Rhinolophus ferrumequinum: one gene and its partners. The protein of the gene in region 1 purifies or fractionates together with the protein of each later gene. This does not show direct contact. Links are inferred from orthologs where the notes say so. Each region holds a gene or a part of one and is shown in the gene's direction. Other genes may lie near its edges.

What was found. The genes of interacting proteins can lie anywhere in the genome.
Region 2: the proteins of PLN (region 1) and ATP2A2 purify together in Homo sapiens (affinity purification with western blotting; 4 studies listed by BioGRID). This does not show direct contact. The link is inferred for Rhinolophus ferrumequinum from reciprocal best matches to the Homo sapiens genes PLN and ATP2A2.
Region 3: the proteins of PLN (region 1) and ATP2A1 purify together in Homo sapiens (affinity purification with western blotting, with the first as the bait; 3 studies listed by BioGRID). This does not show direct contact. The link is inferred for Rhinolophus ferrumequinum from reciprocal best matches to the Homo sapiens genes PLN and ATP2A1.

What each region holds. Positions count from the first base shown.
Region 1 is NC_046286.1:68,962,172-68,969,503, forward strand, and holds the start of PLN (cardiac phospholamban), read left to right. Parts: upstream 1-4,206; 5' UTR 4,207-4,320; intron 4,321-7,332. UniProt on the Homo sapiens protein: Reversibly inhibits the activity of ATP2A2/SERCA2 in cardiac sarcoplasmic reticulum by decreasing the apparent affinity of the ATPase for Ca(2+).
Region 2 is NC_046308.1:6,031,359-6,039,819, forward strand, and holds the start of ATP2A2 (sarcoplasmic/endoplasmic reticulum calcium ATPase 2), read left to right. Parts: upstream 1-5,341; 5' UTR 5,342-5,879; coding exon 5,880-5,997; intron 5,998-6,709; coding exon 6,710-6,727; intron 6,728-6,826; coding exon 6,827-6,909; intron 6,910-8,461.
Region 3 is NW_022680357.1:1,255,466-1,263,030, forward strand, and holds the start of ATP2A1 (sarcoplasmic/endoplasmic reticulum calcium ATPase 1), read left to right. Parts: upstream 1-4,445; 5' UTR 4,446-4,652; coding exon 4,653-4,770; intron 4,771-5,100; coding exon 5,101-5,118; intron 5,119-5,509; coding exon 5,510-5,592; intron 5,593-6,984; coding exon 6,985-7,089; intron 7,090-7,565. UniProt on the Homo sapiens protein: Key regulator of striated muscle performance by acting as the major Ca(2+) ATPase responsible for the reuptake of cytosolic Ca(2+) into the sarcoplasmic reticulum.

The sequences.
Region 1 (7,332 bases):
TTACATACATCATGATTTTCTTTATATAAAGTAAAATAAAAAATACTTTTAAGGAATACATTTTTTAAATGCCATAAAACTATACAAAAACAAATGGAAAGAAATAAACCCAGGATTCAGAATAATCATTTGCTTGGGTGGGGAGAATAGGACAAACAGGGCAAGAACATGTAGTTCGATATGTTATTACTAACATCCTGGCTTTTATTTTAGGTAATAATCTTAGAGATGCTTATTACTAAAATTTAAGGAAACTACTATTGCAATAAAATAAAAACTAAGTAACTACATAAATGAAGGCAGATAAGAGTAAATAAAGTACTATGAATTATTATGAATCCAATGAGGAAAGAAAAAATGTATTTTTAAGTTTTTAAAAGCTTGGTTTAGGGAATATGAGCTTTTGGTTTGGCCTTCCTCCACTCTTACCCCCCAAGGATATTTAAAATATTTTTAAAGGGCGAGAAATATTTTGACAGAATTTATTCTCATTCCACTTTTATCCCTAACCTCCCAAATTAGATGCACAGAACTAAAAAGAGAATGAATTACACTGAAATACTTATTTTAAAAAACAAATTTGTGATATAATATTTGTGCTTCTTTAATACATTAAATAACAATATTTACAGGCAGGTCTAATTATGGCAACTTCAAAGTAGTGATTAATGTAAACAGTATTTCAAACTATCAAAACAACGACTATATGAAATTATCCTTCCTCACTCCCCCCACAATGATCTTAAAATTGAGAAGGATTTTATAATTGTCCCTAAGACTTAATTCTGCAGGATCACTCATTCACTACCAATTCACTTGCAATCTTTCCTGGTCCCCACTTTATTCACTCATCTAATCATTCATTCAATCAATACTACAAAGAACAAACAGTGATATAAATACGAATTATTGGATCAGCTCTCAAGGAGCTTGCAATCTAGTCTAGGCACATACACTAATAAATACAATAAAAGAGAGATGATACCAAAGGTACATGCAAATTGTTTGATATAAGGCAGGGAGGGCTGCACAGCACATATAAATTGACAGCCCTTTGATGGGCACAAAGGTTGGTAAGAAGGACACTCCTACAAAAAGCAGGGAGGCTGAAAATAGAACAGCAGCCTGTTCAGAGAGTCCCTGGCAGCTAACTGTACAAGGCCAGAGACAGACTACAAAGGAATGTGATAAGAGACGAAGCTGCAAAGACAGGGCCTAAAAAAGCCAACTCAGAAGTCAGGATTTTAGCCTCTTTGGGAGCTCAGTCCTCCTCTTTCAAAAAGGCCGCCACACACAACTAAAAAACATCCTGTAACAAAGGAATTCTTCATTTTTTGTGTGTGCCATGGACTTTTCTGGCAGACTGCTGAAGCTTACTGATCTGTTCTCCAAATTTTTTTATATACATAAAATACACAGGATTCCAAATAATTTTTATAGACATTCTGAAACTCTTACGGTAGTGAAGCCTAAGCGTAGCTGCGCATGTGCCTTTCTTCTGGAGAGCACAGTAAGGAAGGAGTAAGAAAAGAGTAACTTTACATGGAGAAACCTGACGAACATTACACTTCAGCCAGGCGATCAAGGTTAACAACACTGATGTCACAGTGATAGTTTACACTTTGACAGGTGATGAAAACGGCACTTGAACTCTCTCGTCTTCCTTGCAAAAACACATCTAACTATAAGAAAAACATCAGACAAATCCCAACTGGAGGTCATTCCACAAAATATCTGACTAGAACTCTTCAAAATGGTTGGGGTTATCAAAAAAAAAGCAAACTCTGAGGAATGTCACAATCAAGGGGACCAAAGGAAGCATGTCTACTAAAGGCAATCTGGTGTCCTGGATAAGATCCTGGCAAAGAAAAGGAACACTGGGGAAAACTGAGGAAATCTGAATAAAGTATGGGTTTTGGTTAAAATAATCTATTACCATAGGTGTAACTGTTGTAACAAATGTACCATACTAATGCAGGATATTAACAATAGGGGAAACCAGGTGCAGGGTATACAGGAACCCTCTGCACTGTATTTGTAATAATTCTGTAAATTTAGGGTTGTTCCAAAATAAATTTTTTTAAAAAATTAAGATGCACAGAACTAGAAAGAAAATGAATTACACTGAAATACTTATTTTAAAAAACAAATTTGAGATGTAATATTTGGGCTTCTTTAACACAATAAATAATATTTACAGGCAGGTTTAATTATGGTAGTTTCAAACTAGTGATTAAAGTAAACAGTATTTCAAGCTATCTGCAACAACTGTAACATATTAAATTATCTGAAATTGCTACAGTGACAGTCAAATGTGCTACTAACACTTCTGCAGTTTGTGGTGCATAGTCAAAACTGAAGAAATGCTAAATCTCATTTAAAGGTTACTAAAGATGTAATTGTTTTCCTATCCAAGTTCAAAGACCATTGAACTCTACCCATGGACTGCAGGTTAAGAATCATCTTCTAAAGGCAAATAAAAACTAAATACTAACACTAAATGGACACTGTGTTGCAGGACCTCTGATAGTCACTACACATAATTCATCTCATTAAACCCTCACAACAAACCCAGTCCACAGACAAGGCAGCTTAGGGAAGTTGTACATGATCATGTGACCAAAAATTCAAATTCTATAGCTTGATGCAAAATGGAGTCTGACAAAGCACCTCTAAAAACAATTTCCAGCCCCTAGTTGTGGAATTTTGAGGAACACTACTGATTATACTGTAGTTCACCAATGCTCCTACTAAACAACTTTCTGTTTAGGCTAAATCAGGCTGAAACTGAAGTACGTATAACACTTCCTAGAGCTCTACTTGTACTAATAAACAGCAGCAGCTAACCAAAAGGAAAAAGGTAAACACAGAAGCTCCCCACCCTTGTACAAATCTAAAAAGTATATTTTTGTCTCCATTTACCAACTCTGACACACCCAGTTCATTAGTATCCTTCTAAGGTGTGTGTATGCGCGCACGCGCACATGCACACCTATGTAGGTTTTTAAAGCAAATATAGCAACATGTGAGATATCCATAGCATATTTTATTGAGTCTATGGCAGTTTCTTAGTTTATCCAACTGAGTATTACTAATTCTATTTTCTTAGAACTAGAGGTGCTGATACAATGATCTATTTTCAAATGAATGTGTAACTGGCAGACACTTAAAGCAGACTTTCTAAAAATAGTAAAAGTTTTCAATAATTCATTTATCTCCATCAAAATTTCTTAGTTTATGTATGCTACTCTATGAAATCTATATCCAAATTATGATTTCCACCCCCACAACATGCCATTCTATCAGTGAACTGTAACTAAACAGATCCGGATTTGAATCCTCAGTCTCTCTCTTAGCAGATGTGTCATCTTTGACAAATTACTGTAAACCATTTTATGCTTGCATTTCAAGCCTAGGTTTTATATTTCAGTCATCATTGGCAATTGATGATAATAAAAGATTCTTATTATGTAAGGAATGAAACAAAGAATGCTTGTAGAGCACTGAGCAAATGTCAAACATTATTCATGAAATATTTTTAATTTTGAGTTTTACTTTTAAGTTGTAAATTTTCCGTTAGCAATGTTCACAGAGGGTCATCACTGAAATATTTTTTCTGTTAGTTGTAGCTGATTCTTTAAATAATGAGAGATTTGCTCTAGAGAATGATTTTATCTTTCTTTGGAAGAAGCCAAAATCATCTCCATTTAAGGGCACATCAGCAGCTGCTGCACAACACATTTTAGTTACCCATAAGAAAGTGAAGCAGGCTGAGTTCATGTCTAATTATTGTCTTGCTAGAAGCTAACATTATGAAGCTGCAATGTCAAAGCACCTGCAGCAAGAGCAACTCAATACAACTTGTTTGGCTTAAACCAGTATTCTCATTCTATGAAAGTTCCTATTACTGTAACTATTTTAGTTCTTCAACATTATCACCATGAGAATACAATCATTTCTAAGCCCAAAGATGCACAAGTATTTAAAAAGAGCTTTCTACCACCCCAAACAGTTTTTTCATCTCTCTCATATACTTTTAAAAGTTAAAAATGAGGCACAAAGTGTTAATGACCTTTCCAAACCTAAAGTGAGATAAATGACATTCTAAAAAGTTTGGGTGTGGTAAGACTATGGCTAACCAATCACATCTGCAGAATTCCTCTGTGACATCATGAGACCTCCCTAGAACACTTTTTCTCCTCTCCCAACTTCAATTGTTCCCATAAATCTGGTAACAGAGAAAACTTTCCAGCTAAACGCCGATAAAGACTTCATACCACTCACAACACTCTATACATTGTGATCGTCACAACAGCTAAGGTAAGAAATAGATTTCACTGATTTGGGAAATTCTTAGTTTCTGTAATTCAAACTTACTGAACTCTTTAAAAAGAATTAATCATATATTGTAAATTATAGCTCAAAGTTAGACAATAAAATGTCTGATATGACAAAAAGCTTAATTTCTAAATAAATGCTTATAATTCAGTGACTAAGAATAAGACTTAGCTTTGAAATGAAAAGGGTTGCATTCATCTTTGATCTTGGTTATTGGTTTTTTCATTTTAATTTTCACGTTCATTTTGCTTTTCAAAGTGAATTTCTGCCAATTAAAATACCTTTCAAATTTGGTTGGTGATAGTGGTGATTTGATTTCTTCAGGCAAAAACAATGGCTTCATTTTGTTATTTGTTATTCTGCTGAGAAACAGGGTGGGCTGTCTACATCTGGAATACTATGAACAGTCCTGTGATTGTACAACATGCACATCATTGGCATAACTTTTCCAATATTATTATTATGATTCCTTACAGGGAATATTAACAAAGTAGAATTGAAGAATATATAATCAAAACTATTTAAAATGCTTTTGAAGACTTTTTTCCTTTCTATAAAGTCCAGTCAACTTTAACAAACACTGCTAAAAAGAAATCCAAGCTTTTAATAAATTGAGTTACTTACATTAATTTCAATACCATATCATAAATAACAAGTTTGAAAATTCCAAAACACTTGTCAAGAACACATGCAAAATTCTTTCTAAATGCACAGAATACAATGTGGCACTTTAAAAATAGATCTTATTTTAGCAGCACAAACATTCCTAAATATCCCATTTGAATGAATTTGATAAAATGAGTGTATATTCTACCTAGCAATGAAAATACTAAGTTACAATCTTCAGTTTCCTCTCTCACATTTAGAAGGGGGGGGGGAGGAAAAAAGAAAAATAACTTCTGGTTGAATTCTACTCTACTTTTTATGTTATAAATCTCAATTTACTATATGAAATGTGTCTTCATTCTTAAATCTCATAGTATAAAGAATATTACATCGATTTTATTTCATTCTTTTCATTTTCATATATATAGGTCAAAATAAAATTCATCTCTAAAATTCTGAATTCCTATGACAAATGTTAACTCTACTGCTAGTTATAGAAAGAACTCTGTAATTCCACAAGCAGCTTTCCTTAAGGCATGCAAAAACATTCCTGGTTTTTGCCTACCAATGAGGCACCCTCACTGCCTCTCAATATCTTTACATTCATAAAATGTTTTTCCTTTGATATTACAGGGAAGTCACTCAGTGTAGGTAGGTGTCTTATATGCATATTTATTTATTTTTACTCATATACCTATCAAATTACATTCTCACATTTCAACTGTTTGTGAGTCTTTATAGTACCAGACTATCACCACATCACCTATTGCTCCAAAAAATTGACAATATCTAGAAAGAGCAGAAATTCTATTAAAGATATCCTTAGATAATGTGTCCAGAAAAACAAAAATTAGTTACGGTGACTGTTGTTCAAATTTCAAACATTGTGTTAGTGTCAGATATTTTGTACCAACAAGTTCATCTCAAACACAGGGTGAAATTTAAGTATTGTCTTTGTTTATAAAGACGTGTGGTTTAAAATTAAGTGCTAAAAAGGAGTGTCAGATGAAATAAAATGGAAGAAATGTGCAAGATGTTTAAATTATGAAAACTGATTAAATTTTAAAGACACGTGAAAGAGCTAGAGTACCTTGCTTTATTAAAAGAAGTCACATCACTAGCATTTCCTAAGACTCAAATATCAAAAATTATTTTAATAGTATTTTAGTAGACATAAAGAAAAGTAATATTCCAGAAAAAAATTGCATTTGGTTACATACTTATCCATACTGTTTCTTAATTTCACTAATTAGAGATAGAAGAATACTGGTATAGATAAAACAGTTCAAAGAAAGAATGAAAATTTTAATTTACTAAATGTATTAAGCAATATTATTAATTATGTAATAAATTATGTAACATATTAAAATTTTAAGTAAAACTTAAATGTAAAGATTAGATTACCTCTCTAAGCAAGGCTGTTTATTTATTAACAATCCTAGAAATATAAAGTCAATTGAAACTGCTTTCTTTTTCCTTGAACAATTTTCTAAATGCACTAGTGTATATAAAAACTTCACTTGATCCTTTTAGCTCCCGATATGTTTGACACCACATCTCTGTTTTACAATTTAGAAAACAGATGTGAAAACGGTGAGTTGCCCAAGGTCACAGATGGGAAATGGTGGAACCTTGGCAGGGGCCAAGATTTTCTGACTCTAAACCACATGTACATCCCACCCACGGGTCAACATGGCTTAAAAATAAAACATGACATTGGCAAAGCAAAATAAATTGAAAGTCCTCAAATACTGTTAATGGTACTCTAAAAGGCAAAGTTAGAGGACACAAACTTCTATTTTATTTAGAACCTCTCCATTTCATTTCAAGTTAATTTATGTATAAGGCATTATGTCCTTAATAGCCTATGAGTATACTACTATCCTGTTTATTTTCAAAGCCAGGGATGTAAGCATGTTATAGATGATCTTAGTTATTAAGTAATACACCCTGGAAGGTAAAACTGAAAACAATTACCAAGACTTTAAAAAAATAACATGATCAATCAATCAAATTAAAGTTCCTTTTTAATGTGTTTCACTGTTAAACTACTCAATGCTTTTCATCTATTTAGCCTTGATTACCTAAAATCCAGGTTAATTTCTCCTCAAAACTTTTCACAAAGCCACATTTTCACACTTCATTCCAGTATTATATTAAATCTTTTGGCTTTCCTCAATTTCCTTTCTCACCTCCTCACATTCTACCATTTAAAATATTCAACCCCATATGTTCTGAAATGCTTGAACAGAGGAATCTTGTTTTTATGCGGTGGAAATCACTAACCTTCATCTCAACTGTGAATTAACAGTGCTGATCATACCAGCCAAGGAGCAAACCTAAAGGTTAGAAATCTGGGAAATAATCCTTCTAAATTACAGTGACCTA
Region 2 (8,461 bases), on another chromosome or scaffold:
AAGGTAAGGAGCAGAGCCCAGAGATAGAGATTCTCAGTGACTTCATTTGAGCAGCTGGATCAAGCTGTTCTAGTTCCAATAAGTCCTTTTTTAAAAAGCATAAGCTAGTCAGTCGGCTTTTTGACCCTGAGCCATCAAAAGAATGCTTACTAATGGAGGTAGGGAGGCAAATCTAGAAAAGACAGTCTGTTAAGTTTGGCAAATTCTCAGAAGTTAAAATTATAGTTTGTGGGCATGTAGAAAATGTAGTCACTAGATTCTGGCATGTGCTCAGTAACACCAGCCATGCTAAACTAGACACATTTTGTGAAAAGATCACTAGAATGGATTTGGAGCCTGTTGTAGACAATGTACCTAGATTTTAGCAACACAGTGGAGAGTCCTTGAAAGTTCTTATGGACAAGTAGAGAAATGTGGGCTGGTTAATAGTGCAGTGGACTAACATCCCATAATCACCTTAAGAGACTTTAATTTACATAACAAAGAATTTAAACAGTGCAGGCAACTCTGCCCACTCAACAAGCATGTGTTCCAGAGTAAGAGATGGCAGATGTGATTAAGTTGGATGGCCTTAGCTCCCACCTGCCTATCATTATAAACACCTTACTGTGCCAGTTCTGAATCTAGCACATAAATATGTATTTTTCTTGTAACATAATCCTTAAGCTGGCTGCATCAGGTGCTCAACCAAAGCAATGGTCGGTTCTAATGCTGTATAATAAAGTATTATGGGAGATAAGGAGGCGGCAGAGTGCCTTATAAGATTTTCACTTTCCTGACTTTGGAACCTATGGTGAAGTTGATTTATGAGATATGATCAAAAAATACGGTGAATATTTAAATGAAAAAAATTATTACAGTAAAAGACACATTGCCATTAATTCCCCTCAAAATGCTCCCCCTCGCTTCGAACACACTTAGCCCATCATTCTTGCCACTTTCTGAAGCGGTTCTAGAAGTCCTCTTTTGTGAGAGTCTTTTTAGTTGCTCTTTTATGGCTGCCTCGATGTCCTGAATCATTTTGACTTTGGGGAAGAGCCACAAGTCACATGGTGCCAGACCGGTGAATGAGGTGGATGAGGACACACCATAATGTTTTTATTTGACAGAAATTGCCGTACCAGAAGTGATGTGTGACGGAGAGTTGTCATGATGGAGGATGATTTACAGCACACTTTAAAACACACCTTCTGACAACCATAGCTCACATCTGACAGACTGAACAAGTTGAAACTCGTCACACACAGTTACCAAGGTTCAATGCACCGCTTCCTGTATTGAAGGTCCCTGCCTTTCCGTGGGATGGTATTTGGCAACAGCATTCACCATATTTTGTGATCACAAAGAAAAGTCTCCATGTCACACACCGCTTCTGGTACAGCAATTTCTATCAAATAAAAACATTGCAATGTGTCCTCATCTACCTTATTCACCAGATCTGGCACCATGCGACTCCTGGCTCTTCCCCGAAGTCAAAATGACCGTGAAAGGTAAACGTTTTGAATCAATTCAGGACATCGAGGCAACGATGGCAGCTCAACTCAAGGCACTCACAAAAGAGGACTTCCAGAACTGCTTCAGAAAGTGGCAAGAATGATGACTTATCCCATGTTCAAAGTGAGGGGGAGTATTTTGAGGAGGATTGATGGCAATGTGCCTTTTACTGTAATAATTTTTTTATTTAAACATTCACCGTATTATCTGATCACAACTCGTACAGCAGTTGAACAACTAAATCCAGGTGATTGGTTATTTTCTAATCTGGAATGAATGTCTAGAAGTTCTATTGGGTAAAGACATAGAAGTCATAAGTCATGCTTATCAAATTTGTGTGTCACCCAAACCAGAACATATAGCTAAAACATCACTTGAAGATGAAGACTCCAAAAGACCACGACAAACGGCAAAGATGGGCCAAAATGAACACAATAGTCAGAGTTCAGTGCCTGGGTTAAAAAAAATTCAACAGTTCAAGGACACAATGGGAAGATTTCACATGACTGCAGTTTATATATACAGAACTCAGTGTTGAGTTGATTGTTAACACAAATAAATGGTGTGAGGAGCAAGCATCCAGCACAAAGGTGGACAGTGATAACTCCACTGCGAGACTGCCTAGAGTTTTGTGTTCCATATTGGGTGTCTCCAGGACTGGACAAGGAGGATACTGAGGGGTTGCAGACTCCTGCTACAGGAGGAACAGCTCAGGGACCACTGTTCTTTTTAGCTGAGAGAGGAGACTTTTATAAAGCGCAATAGATATCTTGAAATACTTAAAAGGATCTCACACAGAGGAGGAATTAAACTTATTCAGAATTGTTCCAGAGGGCTGAACAAGAACCAATGTATAGGAGAAGCTAGTGGGAGGTGGATGCAGCCCAGAATGAGACTGCTTTCATGATCAGAGCTGTCCAAATATGGAACAGACTGCCTTTTGCAATCTCCATCGCTTTACAGGAGGGCTATAGAGGATTGGAAAGTTGGCTCTGGCCTTTTTCACAAAGTCACTCTTTCTACTGGGCCTTTTCTGTCTGCCAGGCTTTTTAAACTCGCCTGCTTATTACCAGCTAACGTCCTCCTTTATCAATTCCTTTCAGGTTCTTTGATCAAATCATCCATCTTTCTGAATCACAGTTTCTCTTCTCTTTCCTCTCCCTGTACTCAATTAATAGACTGTAACTGCAATCCTTGGTGAAAGTATTTCTAAAACCCATTCTTACTGTTTAACCTGCACGAGAAGCATAGGTAGTTCATAAAATAAACTGGGCATAGGTTTATTTCTACATAGGAATGACTAGATCTTTCTGCCTGTGGGAGTCTGAGTTTATGCTTAATTTTGGCAACCTAGAAACAACACGTGTCAGAGACTCCAACAGGTTGAGGAACCAAGTGCATAATTGGCACGTGATGTAGAAGGGGCCAAAGCCAAGCTAAAAATCACAGTTTCAGTTAAAGGGAGTATATCGACTTCCAATGTATAGAAAAGACTGGCAAAGAACAGTCTAGAAGAGTGATGACAATGTGGTTACAGGAGCAATGTGAACCTACATTACTTATCTCCGAGAAACCTATAATGCTGCCTAACTCTGTTTTTGTTTGAAATCCAACCTTTACAACCATTCCCATGAGGCAAGTAGTTCCTGTTGATTTCACAAATTGGAAACCAATGAACTTAAGTTCAGCAAAAATTTGCTGAGGCATTCCCAAGGCAAGGCCTTTTGCAAGTCACTGATAGGTCAGGGATGGTGGGACTGTTTCATTCACACAGGAGTTCAATAAATGATGAGTGTATAACGGGAACTGTACTGTGTCCTGAGGATGGACAAGCTAGACAAGCCCCTGTTCTCATGAAGCTTATATCCCAGTAGGGAGAGACAGGCAGTAAACAGCTAAACAAAAATACAATATCAGAGATAAGTGCTGTGAAGCAATGAAAACAAAAACATGACAGGGAGGGTGACTGGGGCGGGTAGCCACGTTGTCAGCCAAGACATCTCTGAGGTGACATGCAAGCTGAGATCTGAAAAAGATGAAACGAGGCACTCAAAGATCTGGGGAAGCACATTCAGTACAAAAGCCGAGGTAGGGAACCCCTCAGGAAGCTCATAATCACACCAGAGGTGCTTATAACACTAAGCAGAGACCCAGCCCTGGAACAGAGACCCAAACTCAAATACCCAAGGTAATTTCTGGGATGAGAAAGGTTAATGATCCCCTCTGCCTATAGTTCTTCCATTGTTGCTGAAAGAGATGAGATGAGGCAGAAGAACTGGTAAGAAATGGTGCAGACCTGGTCTCAGAGGGAAAGGAACCATCAGCCCTCCATTACCACACCCCCACCATACAGTCCCGGTCCCTCCTGGAGGAGGCTCCAATCCTGTGACCTAACCAGTTTCCACCGTGCTTCTCTTAATGCATTGCCATACACTAGACTTCTGTTTGTTTGTTTGTTTCGTGTAGGGTTTTGTTGGCCCTTTTCCAAGTATCAATCAAAACTGCATGCCAGCCTCCACTCCTTGGAAATAATGAAATGACGTGCCTGATTTTTTCATCTGGGTAATGCACTGTAATTTGCATCTCTTGAAGGAATTTATCTCAAGTCCTGAGGCTGAGCCATCTGGGACAACTGAGGTGATTTTTGTTCTGCTTTGGCTCATGTGGATGGTACAGTATTGCCAAACACAAAAGTGGACTAACTGCTTCATTCTGCGACACACTTCCTTAAGAAAGCTGTTCTTTGTGATGCGAATATGTTCACTTTTTGTTCATGAGTTCAAGCCCTGTTAAATAGTCTAACTTCTTTACATTGGGAAATTCCCTTTATCTTGCTGTTACCTAGGTTTTGTACAGATCTCAGGGGCAAATCATCTGTGGATTAAGAATAGGTCTTGGATTAAAGACCCTTTTTCGCCTATTGGGGAAAGGGGAGTCTAGAAAATAGCCTTGATCTTAATACCCAAGAGAAGCACCTTCTAGTACAAATCTCACTGCTACACAGCAGGTACAGTAGCATAACCTGTGTCTTCTACGCAGGCATGTATCGAAGGCCGTGTGGGCTATTAAAAAGAAAACCTCCAAAACAAAACAAAACAAAACCTTCCTTCTTTTCCCCAGAGTGGGATTAACTCAGTCAGGGCCCAGAACCCGCTGGGGAAAGGCTGATGTCTGCGTGCCGTGGAGCCCTCAGCTGTGGGTGTGGGATGTGGTGTTCCTGAGGCTACAGATGAGGGATTTTGGCCTTGTGGGAAGTGAACTGCGGAATTCCTCCCCTTGGTTACTGAGGCGGGGCTCCGAAGCAGACAGATTAGGATGCAGAGTGCGGCCCTGGAGATTGAGAGCGAGGGGGCGAGCCAAGGACACCAACCAGAGCGCGCTTCGGGAGCCCTGTGCGGACCAAATTCCCAGGTTCCTTGGCCTCGCCTTCCCAGCCATGCACCCCGGCCTGAGGCCGACCCTGAAGGGCAGGCAGTTCCCTCCGGGCAGCGAGTGCAGGGAGCCCACCTTGAGGCTCCCACCCTTCTGGATTCTAGTTCTTTGGGCGGCTGGGGATCTAAGGCCGCACCAGCGGAGGAGCGGGCCGGAGCTCGCGCCCCGTCAGCCCGCGGACCACAGGGCACACTGTGCAGGCACCGCTCACAGCAGCCTCGATCCGGGTTCCGGGGGGCGGTGCGCGGGAGGGGCGGGGCCTGCGTGGCAGCGTGGGCGCGAGCCGCGCGGGAGGGAGGGAGCCGGGGAGGGGGCGGGGCCGCGCCGCCCGCGCCGCGCTGGGCCCTCTCGGCCAATGAGCGGCGTCCACATGCCGCGGCGGCGGCGAGAGGGGAGGCAGCGACGGATAAATGCTATTAGAGCAGTCGCCGCGGAGCCGTCCCCGACGCCACCTCCTTCTCTTTCGCCGCAGTTTCCTCCGCCGCTGTCGGGGGAGTAGAGCTGAGGGAACTGGGCGAGCGCGCTGTGCACCACCCCACCGGCTTGCAGCCCTTCGTTCCGCCCTCAGGGGTCGGCCGGGCGCCCCCTCCTCTGGTCCGGGCGGGGCCGCGAATCACCTCAGGAGAGCGGGGAGGGGGCTAAGGGGCCGCGGCCTGCACTCTGGGCGGGCGGTTGAGGGCGAAGGAGACCCTCCCTTCTGACGAGGAGAGTCGCGAGCTCCCACCGCCCAGCTGAGCCCGGGGTGGGCGCCGGCGAGGGCTAGGCAGCGAGAGGAGCGGTTGTCTGCGGGAGGGGGCGCGGGGTGATTCAGCGCCCCGCGAGGCGGAAGCAGCCGGAGGAGGAGGGGGAGAAGCCAGTCCGCGCCTGGGCGCCGGAGGTGGCACGAGCCCGCTGTCCGAGTGCGAGGCGGAGGCTTGGAGGCCGCGGGGACGGGAGGCGAGGCCCCCGCAGCCATGGAGAACGCGCACACAAAGACCGTAGAGGAGGTGCTGGGCCACTTCGGTGTCAACGAGAGCACGGGGCTGAGCCTGGATCAGGTCAAGAAGCTCAAGGAGAGATGGGGCTCCAACGGTAGGTGCCCGGCGCCGGGGCTGCAGGGGCCCCGCGCGGCCCGGCGCGGGGCCGAGAGCCAGGGAAGATGGCTGACCGGGCCCCACCTCGTGGGTCTCGGCTCCGAGCCCGCCGAGGGCTGCAGGCGGCGGGTCGAGCCCGCGCGTCGGCCAGGCGGGAAAGGGGCAGCATGCGGGGGGCTCCGGATCGGGTCTGCGCCTGCTCTCGATGTCCTCGCGGCTCGAGACCTTGACCTTCCCCGCACGCGGCCAGCTCCGTGACTGTCACCAGCAGCAGCCGGCCCTGGTGGAGGGAGGAACTAGTCTCCTGAAGCTGGGTTGAGTCCTGCGAGACATTTTCTCGTCCCAGCCTGTTTATGAGGCGTCGTTGTAGTTGAGAATGCCTCTGACCGTTCTTGCACTACCCAAAGTTACACATCTGGCAGAAGTGATGACATAGCTGAAATGACTCCTTGTTTCGGGATCCCTGTTTAGATGGCAATGAGATTTTACGCTTTGGGGTAGACCTAAGGCCATTGGTTACAAGTATTGCATATTTTTGGGGGGTACCATTTTAGTATGGTTTCCATTAAAAATGATAGAATGTATATATATCTAGGTACGTCTTTCAAAGATTGATAAGTTTTAGCAATTCTTTTTTAGAAATACAGAATGCTAAAATGTTTTTTCCCCCCTCTTGACACGGTTGCTTGGCGAATTTCTACATTCTACAGAGTTACCGGCTGAAGAAGGTAAGTAATCTTAAAATGTCCCATTCTCCACCTCCACCCCCTCCCTTTGTGTGCTGAAGTTAATATGACATTTACAACAAATATGTTTGTTTCTAATAGGAAAAACCTTGCTGGAACTTGTGATTGAGCAGTTTGAAGACTTACTAGTTAGAATTTTATTGCTGGCAGCATGTATATCTTTTGTAAGTATGAAGCAATTCATTTTCTCTCCAAATAAATAATGTCTATCGGGTGAGAACATTATATTTGGAGGTTTAAGCTGTGTCTCCATTTTTTTTTTCCAAACCTAGATATTTTAAAATTACAAACAAAACACTTGAAGCCATTCGTGAACAGAAAATAAATGGCTGCCTGATATTTACAGTGCAGTTAGAAATTATTCCTGAATGTGGCAGGGTCTTACAAATTCTTGTGGTTTATCAGTTTTTAATAACAAAAAGTTCTTTATTGGAAGGCCTTTTCTGTTTCGGGTTCTTCAATTGTGTAAGATCATACTAAGATGATGTTGGGCTCTTTGTAGTCTGTAAATAGAACTTACAAAAGGAATATTCCAGTTGCTCTCCTGTCCTAGTAATGGCAAGGTGACAGTTTCTGACAGTGACAAGAATGATGACGGCAGTGATGGCACCACTGTTGACCAAATTTGGTCACTGACCTTTAGGGTGGTATATTTATCTAAATTGGACCCCTGTCTTGAGTGACTCCTAGGTTAAGAGAACAAGGTTCAGTACAGTTGGTTCTAGATCTTAAAAGAGGAAGAAAAAAAATTGTGTTTTTTCTTCTTCTGTATATACTTGCCCGCTTGAGTCCTGTATGGTTGCTAAGAAACTGGTGAAATGCAAAGAACTACTGGAGAAGAAAGGTGATGGGGGTTGGTGAGGATATTTCTAGGTTATTAACATTTTTTTTCTGTTCAATATTTTTTATTGCCTTTTTTTCTTGGGCAATGGACTTCTTGGTAGTTTTCCTAAAAATGGTCATGAATAGGACACAGATGTTCCTAATCCTAACAGCATGAGATGCCTTTTGTTCTTAAATTACAATATTTTATTCTTATAAAAACATGATTGGAAGCGAAATTCACCCAGTGCAATACGTTTTTCAGGCTTCACAAAACCTACACAGCTTCAAGGTCTCGTTTTTATGTTTGTATGTATGCAACCAGGGATCTACCTCAGTCTTTGACAACCATACCATAGAGGGCTATTTTGAGAACTGAATAAAGGAAGCAGTGGACATTTTTTTAGGTGAGAAAAAAATTGGGAAGAGGTGAACTTTTTCTGGAGTAATTATATACACAGATACTGCCATGAGAATCTGCCATTTTAGCCAAGGGATGTGTAACTATTAATCAATCCTTATGAATCTTTTCAGTGATATTCATTGAATAAAATATAGAGTGATGTATCAAACATTCAACATCCTGAATTAATCACTCGATACCTCTTACATGTCTGTTCTGAATTAATTTAACCCCACAACCTCCTCGCCAGTAAATGACTGCTGCTTTAACCAATTAAGAGAAAGGAGTAGATCTGTTTGATTAATAAGTTTCAACATATTGTCGTGGGGCAAAACAAATTACATATTTGGGCTAGTATAATATTTATATTTAAGCTGGCTACGTAATTCTGAAACTGTCAGCTCTGGTAGTTGAAATACTGGGGTTCAATACGGTCATCAGGGACCTCTTAGAAGTTAATCAGCTGATGTATATACAAGCCAAAGAGGTAT
Region 3 (7,565 bases), on another chromosome or scaffold:
TTAAACAAAATGGAGAAGCTTAACTAAATAAAAGGGTTTATCTCAGTTCCATCCTGGTGGCTGTGGCCTGTGTTTGCAGTGGGGGCCGGGCCAGGGGGGTCAGCAGGGGCCCCGGTCCTGGGCTTTCAGCCCACGGCTCCTCTGTGGGCTGTCCTGTGGGTAAGAGCAGAGCCACCCAGCGCTGTCTGGGGTCTCCAGCCACGTTCTCGTAACGGGACTCAATCTCCCAGGACCCCTCCTGCTCTGAGTTCTTCAGTTAAGGCTTCCTACCCCAGGGAGAAAACAGGCAGAGAGAGGTCATGGGGGTGGGCCTGGGGGCACGGGGCTGTGTGGGGAGACATTGAATGTGGCAGCCACAGAGTCTGGCGGCAGAGGGGCCCAAGGGCAGGCTGGCCACCCTCCTCAGAGCCACTCTGGGGAGCCGGAGGCAAGGTGTAACCACTGCAGCCTCAGTATCTTCATCTGGAGAGTGGGAAGTTTCATCTGGGATGGAGCTCGTGACTCACAAGGTCTGAAGGTTAAGTTCCTGAACTTGGGGCAACGACGTTGCTGACCTTGTTTTGATATCAGAGGGATTGTTCATTATGAATTTGTACCAGCTGGACAAACAGTGAACCACGTTTACTATTTGGAAGTGCTGAAAAGGCTGTGTGACAAAGTTAGAGGACCTGAGTTTTTCGCCAACAATTCATGGCTCTTGCATCACGACAATGCACCAGCTCACACGGTACTGTCTGTGAGGGAGTTTTTAGCCAGGAAACAAATAACTGTATTGGAACACCCTCCCTACTCACCTGATCTGGCCCCCAATGACTTCTGTCTTTACCCGGAGATAAAGGAAACATTGAAACGACATTTTGATGACATTCAGGACATCAAGGGTAATACGACGACAGCTCTGATGGCCATTCCAGAAAAAGAGTTCAAAAACGGCTTTGAAGGGTGGACTAGGCGCTGGCGTCGGTGCACAGCTTCCCAAGGGGAGTCCTTCGAAGGTGACCATAGTGATATTCAGCAATGAGGTACGTAGCACTTTTTCTAGGATGAGTTTGCGATCTGAATTGTCCGCCCTCCTAGATGGCCTGGCTAATGGAATTTCACATAAAAGTTCAGATGATTGGCTTCTCTTGAAAATCAGAAGGCAGCCTCGTGCTGCATCTGCCTCATCCCTGCCCGACCTTGTCACTCATGACGTGCCTGGCCTGTGGGTATTTGCGGTTGCAACGTCTGCTGCTCCTCCGTTTCCCCCCAGCCCCTCCGTTTAACCCAGGCCCTGCTCTCTGAATTGCGGCTCTGCCCTCCTCCAGTGGAGGGCGCCCCTGGGCTTCTCGGCTCTGCGGGTAATGGGCGCCCACAAGGAGGGGCCAGGTTCCCCAGACTCCCACCTGCTTTACGTGGCCCCCTCCCCTCCCCACCTCTGTCCACCTACCTCTGCCTCTTACCATTCTGCCTCCATTTCCCTCCCAGTCAGCGTGGAGCCTCCACTTCCACGCCCCCCCCCCAGCCTCTGCCCCCACCTCTGGGCCCTACCCATGCCTGTGACCTTGCTATTCTGGGCCTCGTGTCCTGTGGGGAGATGGACAGGAGACAGCTGGGCTCACAGGCCACTCAGGCTGTGGGCTCGCCTGGGGAAGCCTGCTGGCTCTCCCCGTTTTATCTAATCCCTGGGACTCCCCCAAACCTTGGCCTCAGGAGACGGGGGGGGGGGGGGGGGGGGGGATAGAATTGGCTTTGCAAAGGTGGAGATGCTTTGGGGCGCTGGGTGCGATAGTCTCAAAACGAGATGGCCCCTGAAGGCTGCGTGCCCGAGCGTAAGCAGGGCCTGATTCTCCTAATCTAGCGGCAACTTGTGTGTGGGCTCCCTCTTCCCCTAAACCCCGCCGGCCCTCTGGGACTCGCCTTCTGAAGATGGGTGGGGGAGGGGTTCAAGGGCCCCCCACACCCCAAGATTTGCATGTCTTGGCCGGAGGAGCCTAAGAGACTGCTTCTCTCCCAGCCTGTGGTGGTTCAGCTGAAGTTCAGCACTGGTCAGGGATTGGCTGGGCTCAGTCCGTGGCTCTCACAGACCTACTCGCAGCTTCAGCCTTCAGATAGGAGGGGAAAAACACCTTCCAACTCTGGGCCTGGAGACCCCCGTGGCGTGGCGTGGCGCGGCGCGGCGTGGCGGGGATCCACGAGCAAGGGCCTCCCTGCTCGGCCCCCTCCGGGGCAGTTCACACCCCCAGCCTCCCTGAGGGTGATCCTTCCGCGGCTCTTGGCTTTCCCCCTTTGGCGTCAGGTCCCCGCTCTGGGAAGTTGATGGAGGTAGAAAGGACTAACCTTAAGGTCCCTGTTGCCAGCAGCGTCCTGCAACGCCGGCCTCCTTTCCGCAGCTCCATGCGCTCCGCTCCCTTGAACCTGTGACCGGTCCAGCCTTCTCCCCCTTCTCCATGTTTGGGCATTCCTGCTCCCGTCACTCCTCCAGGTGCTGTCAGGGAGAAGCCAGCCGGCCAAAAGGCTTGGCAGATGCGGAGCCCGACTGGGGCCTAAGAGCTGGGGGGTGCTGGCCAGGTGGAGGTGCCTGGCCAGGTGGATGGAGACTCACGCCGTTGTCTGAGCCCCCACGGCAGGTCACAGCAGGACTCTGCTTCAGCGCAGGTTTTGTTGGAACCCTGAGGAGGAGGGAGGGAGTACCCTGTCTGTGTCCTCAGCTCACCCCGAAATCCAGGAGGAGAGAGGGATGAGTGGGGGGGCCAAATCCTTAAATGCCCTCCCCCCATGCTAGCCTCAGAAGTCGGGTTTCCCTTGCCTTTGCCCGCTGCCCCCTGTGCCACTGTCTGCGTAGCAGCTGGGCGGCCGAGGGAAGCAGCCTTGAGACCCAGTCAGTCAGTGGCCTGTAATCCTCACCATTTCAGGAAACTGAGGAAGGACTTGAGGTCAGGGTGGCGAGGCTGCTTTTCCCCTCACTGACCTTTCACCACTGCTCCACTGAACGTCTCTCCTCTCTCTGCCATCCTTCCCTCCCCCACCCACACCCCAGGCTACCCTCTGCTCCTGCTCCTCCAGCAGCTGCCCTGGTAATAACCAAAAGATGCCCCCATCCCAGAGCAGGGGTGGGGGTGGGGGGCTCGGAGCAGCTGCTTCTCCGAGGAAGCTGACACCAAGGCCAGCCGCTCAGTGACAACTTGTGGCTTTGCACCCAGCCCTGGGCCCCCACCCACCTGGCTGCCACATGCCAGCTCCCTGCTGTCCCTTTTCCCCACTGCTCCTCAGACTTCCTTCTGACCCTGGCAGCTCTCTCTCTGCTCCCCCAGCTCTGGTCTGTCCTTATTTCCCCCAGACATGTCCCCATCAGTCTGCCCTCTCCCCACGCCTTTGGCCTGGAGCCTCTGCTTTATCCAGCTTCCCCAGCACCCTTTCCTGGATGCCCCTTCCCTCCTGCTGCTTCCCACGGGGTGTGCCCAGGGCCTGGACATACAGCTCTGGTCCTCACTCCCCTTGAGCACAGATACTTCAGGGCCAGGTGGAGTGCAGAGCGTCATCCATGTGGGGTCTGCCAGGGAAACCCCTTAGGTTACAGAGAGCACAGTATGGGACGGAGGCGACCCTTCTTCCATGACTTGGGGTGACCCCCACCCCCATCCTGAAATGTTTATCCCTCCCCCTCTGCCATCAGCACATTCTGTAGCCTCTTGGGTTACCTTGCTGCCTGGGTATCCCATTTTCTTGCGGGGGGTGGGATTCACTGTTCGAGATAGGGGGGGCTGGAGGTTATGTTCCCAGAGGCTGAGTTAGAGCGATGTGGGGGGGGGAATTTAGGGGAGAGACAGGCAGTCCTGGCTTTGCTCGTCGGGCCTGGACACTAAATCCCCTGTTGATGGCTGCCGCAACCCCTCCCTAGGGTAGGGTTACCATCTTTACCCTGTCCCCTTGACCCCCTCCCTTCCCTCTTCCCCTCATCCCTCCAGAGCCACTTCCTTTGGCCCCCAAAGGATGTTCTCCCCCTCTTCCATCCCCCGAAGGTTGGAATAGCTCTGCTGCCCTTTCAACAAACTAGGTGAAGAAGGAGGCTGGCAGGTTCAGAGTGGACGAGATGGGACGCAGGGGTGGGGGGTGGGGTGCGAGGGACGTGCCCGGGGAAGGCCTGAGAGGAGAAGTGGGCTTATGGGGAGAACTGGGGGGATGAGTTTGGAACCGGAAATTCAGTGCAACTGAGGAAGCTGAGGCAATTGGGGGAGGGGTCCGTAGCAGAAGACAGAAAGTGAAGTCTCTCTGCCCCCCTTCCCTGGGGCTGGGGCCATCTTAGCTTCCCTCATGAGTGACATCTCAGGCTGCAGCCCCACTGTTCCCCCTCTGTCAGCAGAAATATCTCTCTCTTCTGACCCCTCCTGCTGGCGTCTCAGCCAGCCAATCCCTGATCTGGGGGAGGGGGGAGCCTGGCCCCCCCTACTCCCTCATAAGGGACCAGCTGGGGGCTGGGGGGTGGCCGGCTGCTACAAGTGGGACGGGGGTCAGAGCTTCGTGAAAGGAAGAAAAACCTGGGGGGGGGCAGGAGAGAAAAAAAGAAGAAGCCCCGACAGACAGGCAGGTGGACACACTGAGGAAGGCCCCCCACACGTGAGAACCCCCCTAGAAGAAACACACGGCCCCCTGGCCCCCAGGAAGGGAGCACAATGGAGGGTGCACACTCCAAGAGCACAGAAGAATGTTTGGCCTATTTTGGGGTGAGCGAGACTACAGGCCTTACCCCGGACCAAGTTAAGCGGCATCTGGAGAAATATGGCCCCAATGGTAAGTGTGGCTCGGAGGCTGGTAATGCCCTCCCGCACACGCGCAGCGCACACGCATACTCACACGCAGTCTCCCCCTCTGGGGTATCGTAGGGAAGAGCTGGGTCCAACGACTGCAGCCGTAAGAGGATAGGGAAGAGAATACGGAGAAAACGGGGTCCCTGAGACCCAGAGTTTTGGGAGGTTTTATAGGATGACCTTGGAGAACCTCAGATGCCCTTTCGATGGCCTGATTCTCTTACCTTAGCCACAAAATCCTGGGTGTGTGTGTGGGGGGGCATCAGACAGAACCCCAAATGAACATGTCCTTTTCTTCTTTTTCCCTGGGTAGAGCTCCCTGCTGAGGAAGGTAAGTTACCGAAATCCCTGAGCTGTCATAAATGACCCCCCTCCCCTCTGGGCTCCACTCCCTTTTCCCTGCCTCTCCCTATTCACTCCTGGGGCAAATATCCCTCCCCAAGGGTTTGAGCCGGGCTGGGGGCAGAAGTTTCCAGGCACTTTCTCCTTGGGCATCCAGCCCTTGAACAACTGCCCGCCACTTGGAGGAGCCCGTTGGTGGCGTCCTGGCAAGCTCCCTCTCTCACTACCAAGTGGTCTGCCCATCGCCCCACAACCATCCTGCTCGGGGCTGGAAATCAGGGCGCCCTCAGTCCCTGGCCCCCAGCTTGCACCTGGAGTCCCTGCTGTCCATCCGCTAGACCTTAACCCCGGGGACGCCCTCCCCTTGCCTCTCCCCCCAGGGAAATCCCTGTGGGAGTTGGTGGTAGAACAGTTTGAAGACCTCCTGGTGCGAATCCTTCTCCTGGCCGCCTGCATTTCCTTTGTGAGTGTAGTGGAACATCTGGGGGCTGGCTGCGGGTGCGGGGATCTGGAGAGGGTGCCGAGGGTGGGGAGGGCTCCAAATCCGAGGCCCCCCTCGTCCAAGCCCTCGGCATCCTATCCTGCAGACCAGAACTGACCGGGGTGGGGGGTGGGTTGCTGATGTGCGCCCTCTGTCCTCCCCACACCCCGCAGGCAGGTTTTATTTTAAGCTTTAACGGTGTTCTCAGCCAAAACACTGAAGCTAAGCCACCCCCCGAAGCTTCCAGGGCTCCGAAGGCTCGGGTTACCCCCTTGAGCGAAGGGCTCCCCAGCTCCGTCGCTGCGGCCACTCGGGGGCGCCACTACTCCCTGGGTGCCCGAGGTGCAGGCTGCGCCTCTCCACCAATCCCCGAGCCTCCTGGCGCCGCTGCCCCGCCCTCCTGGCGCTGATTGGTCGAGGCAAAGACCCTCCTAGAGGCGGGAAAGCTGCTGGTGCGAGGGTGACTCCAAAGGCTCCTGGAGGCGCAGACCCCTCACTTGTCGCTGGCCTTGCTTCTCTGCCCCCCAACAGGGCTGAAAATCCTGGGATCCCTTTCCTCCCCAGACTGGCCTGACTCTCCCCTTCCCCGCCCTCCCTGGGCCCCTCCAGCCTCAGCGCTGCCCCCGCCCGCTCCTCAGGGTCCTGCCACGTGTCCTTGCCTGGGGCTCCCTTGGGCGCCCACCGTGCCAGCAATCAGTCGATCCTGCCATGTGGAGTTTCTTCCTTAACATCTTACTCCTGCTGGAAAACAAGCCTCCGGAGGCAAAACAGTGTCCCTGTCCCCTGGTCTCCTTCATGTAGGCCTGTGGGCCCCTGAGCACCAGCTGGCAGGGCCTCACTTCTCCCTTCTCAGATTTGCTCCTTGACATTTGCCTGTGGCTGTTGCCTTTGCAACAGCTGGGGTGGGGTGGGGTGTGTACAGGAGGCCCCGTAACACTATCCCGCCCCCCTCCTGCTCCCTCCTGAAATCGGAGCTTCCCTGCCTCGGGCTGTGGGGGGAGGGCTGTGGGTGGGCCAGCCGCCCGCCTGCCTGCGCGGACCACAGGTTTTTTCCTATGGAGTTGTGGCTCCCCTGGGATGGATGTGGCTGTGTGGGTAGTTGGCCCGGGTGCCCCCTGAGCTTTGTTTACAAGCGTGCAGCTCTGTCAGGGAAACCTGAAAGCATTCCTCGGTAATCCCTGAGGGGTGCAGGTCTGTGCCCGCCTGGCGGTGCTGCCCATCCTGGAGTGTTAGACCGGCAGACCGACGCGCGGCTGCGCGCCCGGTGAGGCCTGGCCCTTTCTTTGCTCCTGCACGAGTTCTCACCTCCATTGGCCTTCTTTACCTGTTTAAGGGCCGCTCTCACCTGTGATTCTCCCTTCTCCTGCTTCCCAGGTGCTGGCCTGGTTTGAGGAAGGTGAGGAGACCGTCACTGCGTTTGTTGAACCCTTTGTCATCCTCTTGATTCTCATTGCCAATGCCATCGTGGGGGTTTGGCAGGTTAGCTTCCACCCCTCTTGGTTCCTTCATGTCCGGACACTGAACATGAGGCCCCCTCCCCCCACCCCCCATCACTTCCCTTGGGCTTGCCTTGTTCTCTGGTCCTATTGCTCAGTTTGTAAATGGGACGGAGTGTGGGCAACAGGTGGGAGCTGGTGTTCCCACTGTCACTTGCTGGCTGTAGAACTCTGGGCAAGTTCCTTCATCTGTCTGAGGCTCGGTTTCCTCATCCATAAAATGGGGCTAATAATCCTGTCCCTCAGAGTTGTGGTGAAATATAAAAAGATGATGAGTGTGAAGGTGCCTGGTGTATAGTAGGTGCTCAATAAATGCTAGTTTGAGTTTCTTCTTTCCATTACCTCACCACCCTCTACTTTTCCTGTCCCCTGCTTTCTGATTTTCTTTCTCTTTTCTTCTCTCCCAACCCCCCTAAACCGTTTTTGGCCGTAAGCAACAGGTTCTTGAACACATACACA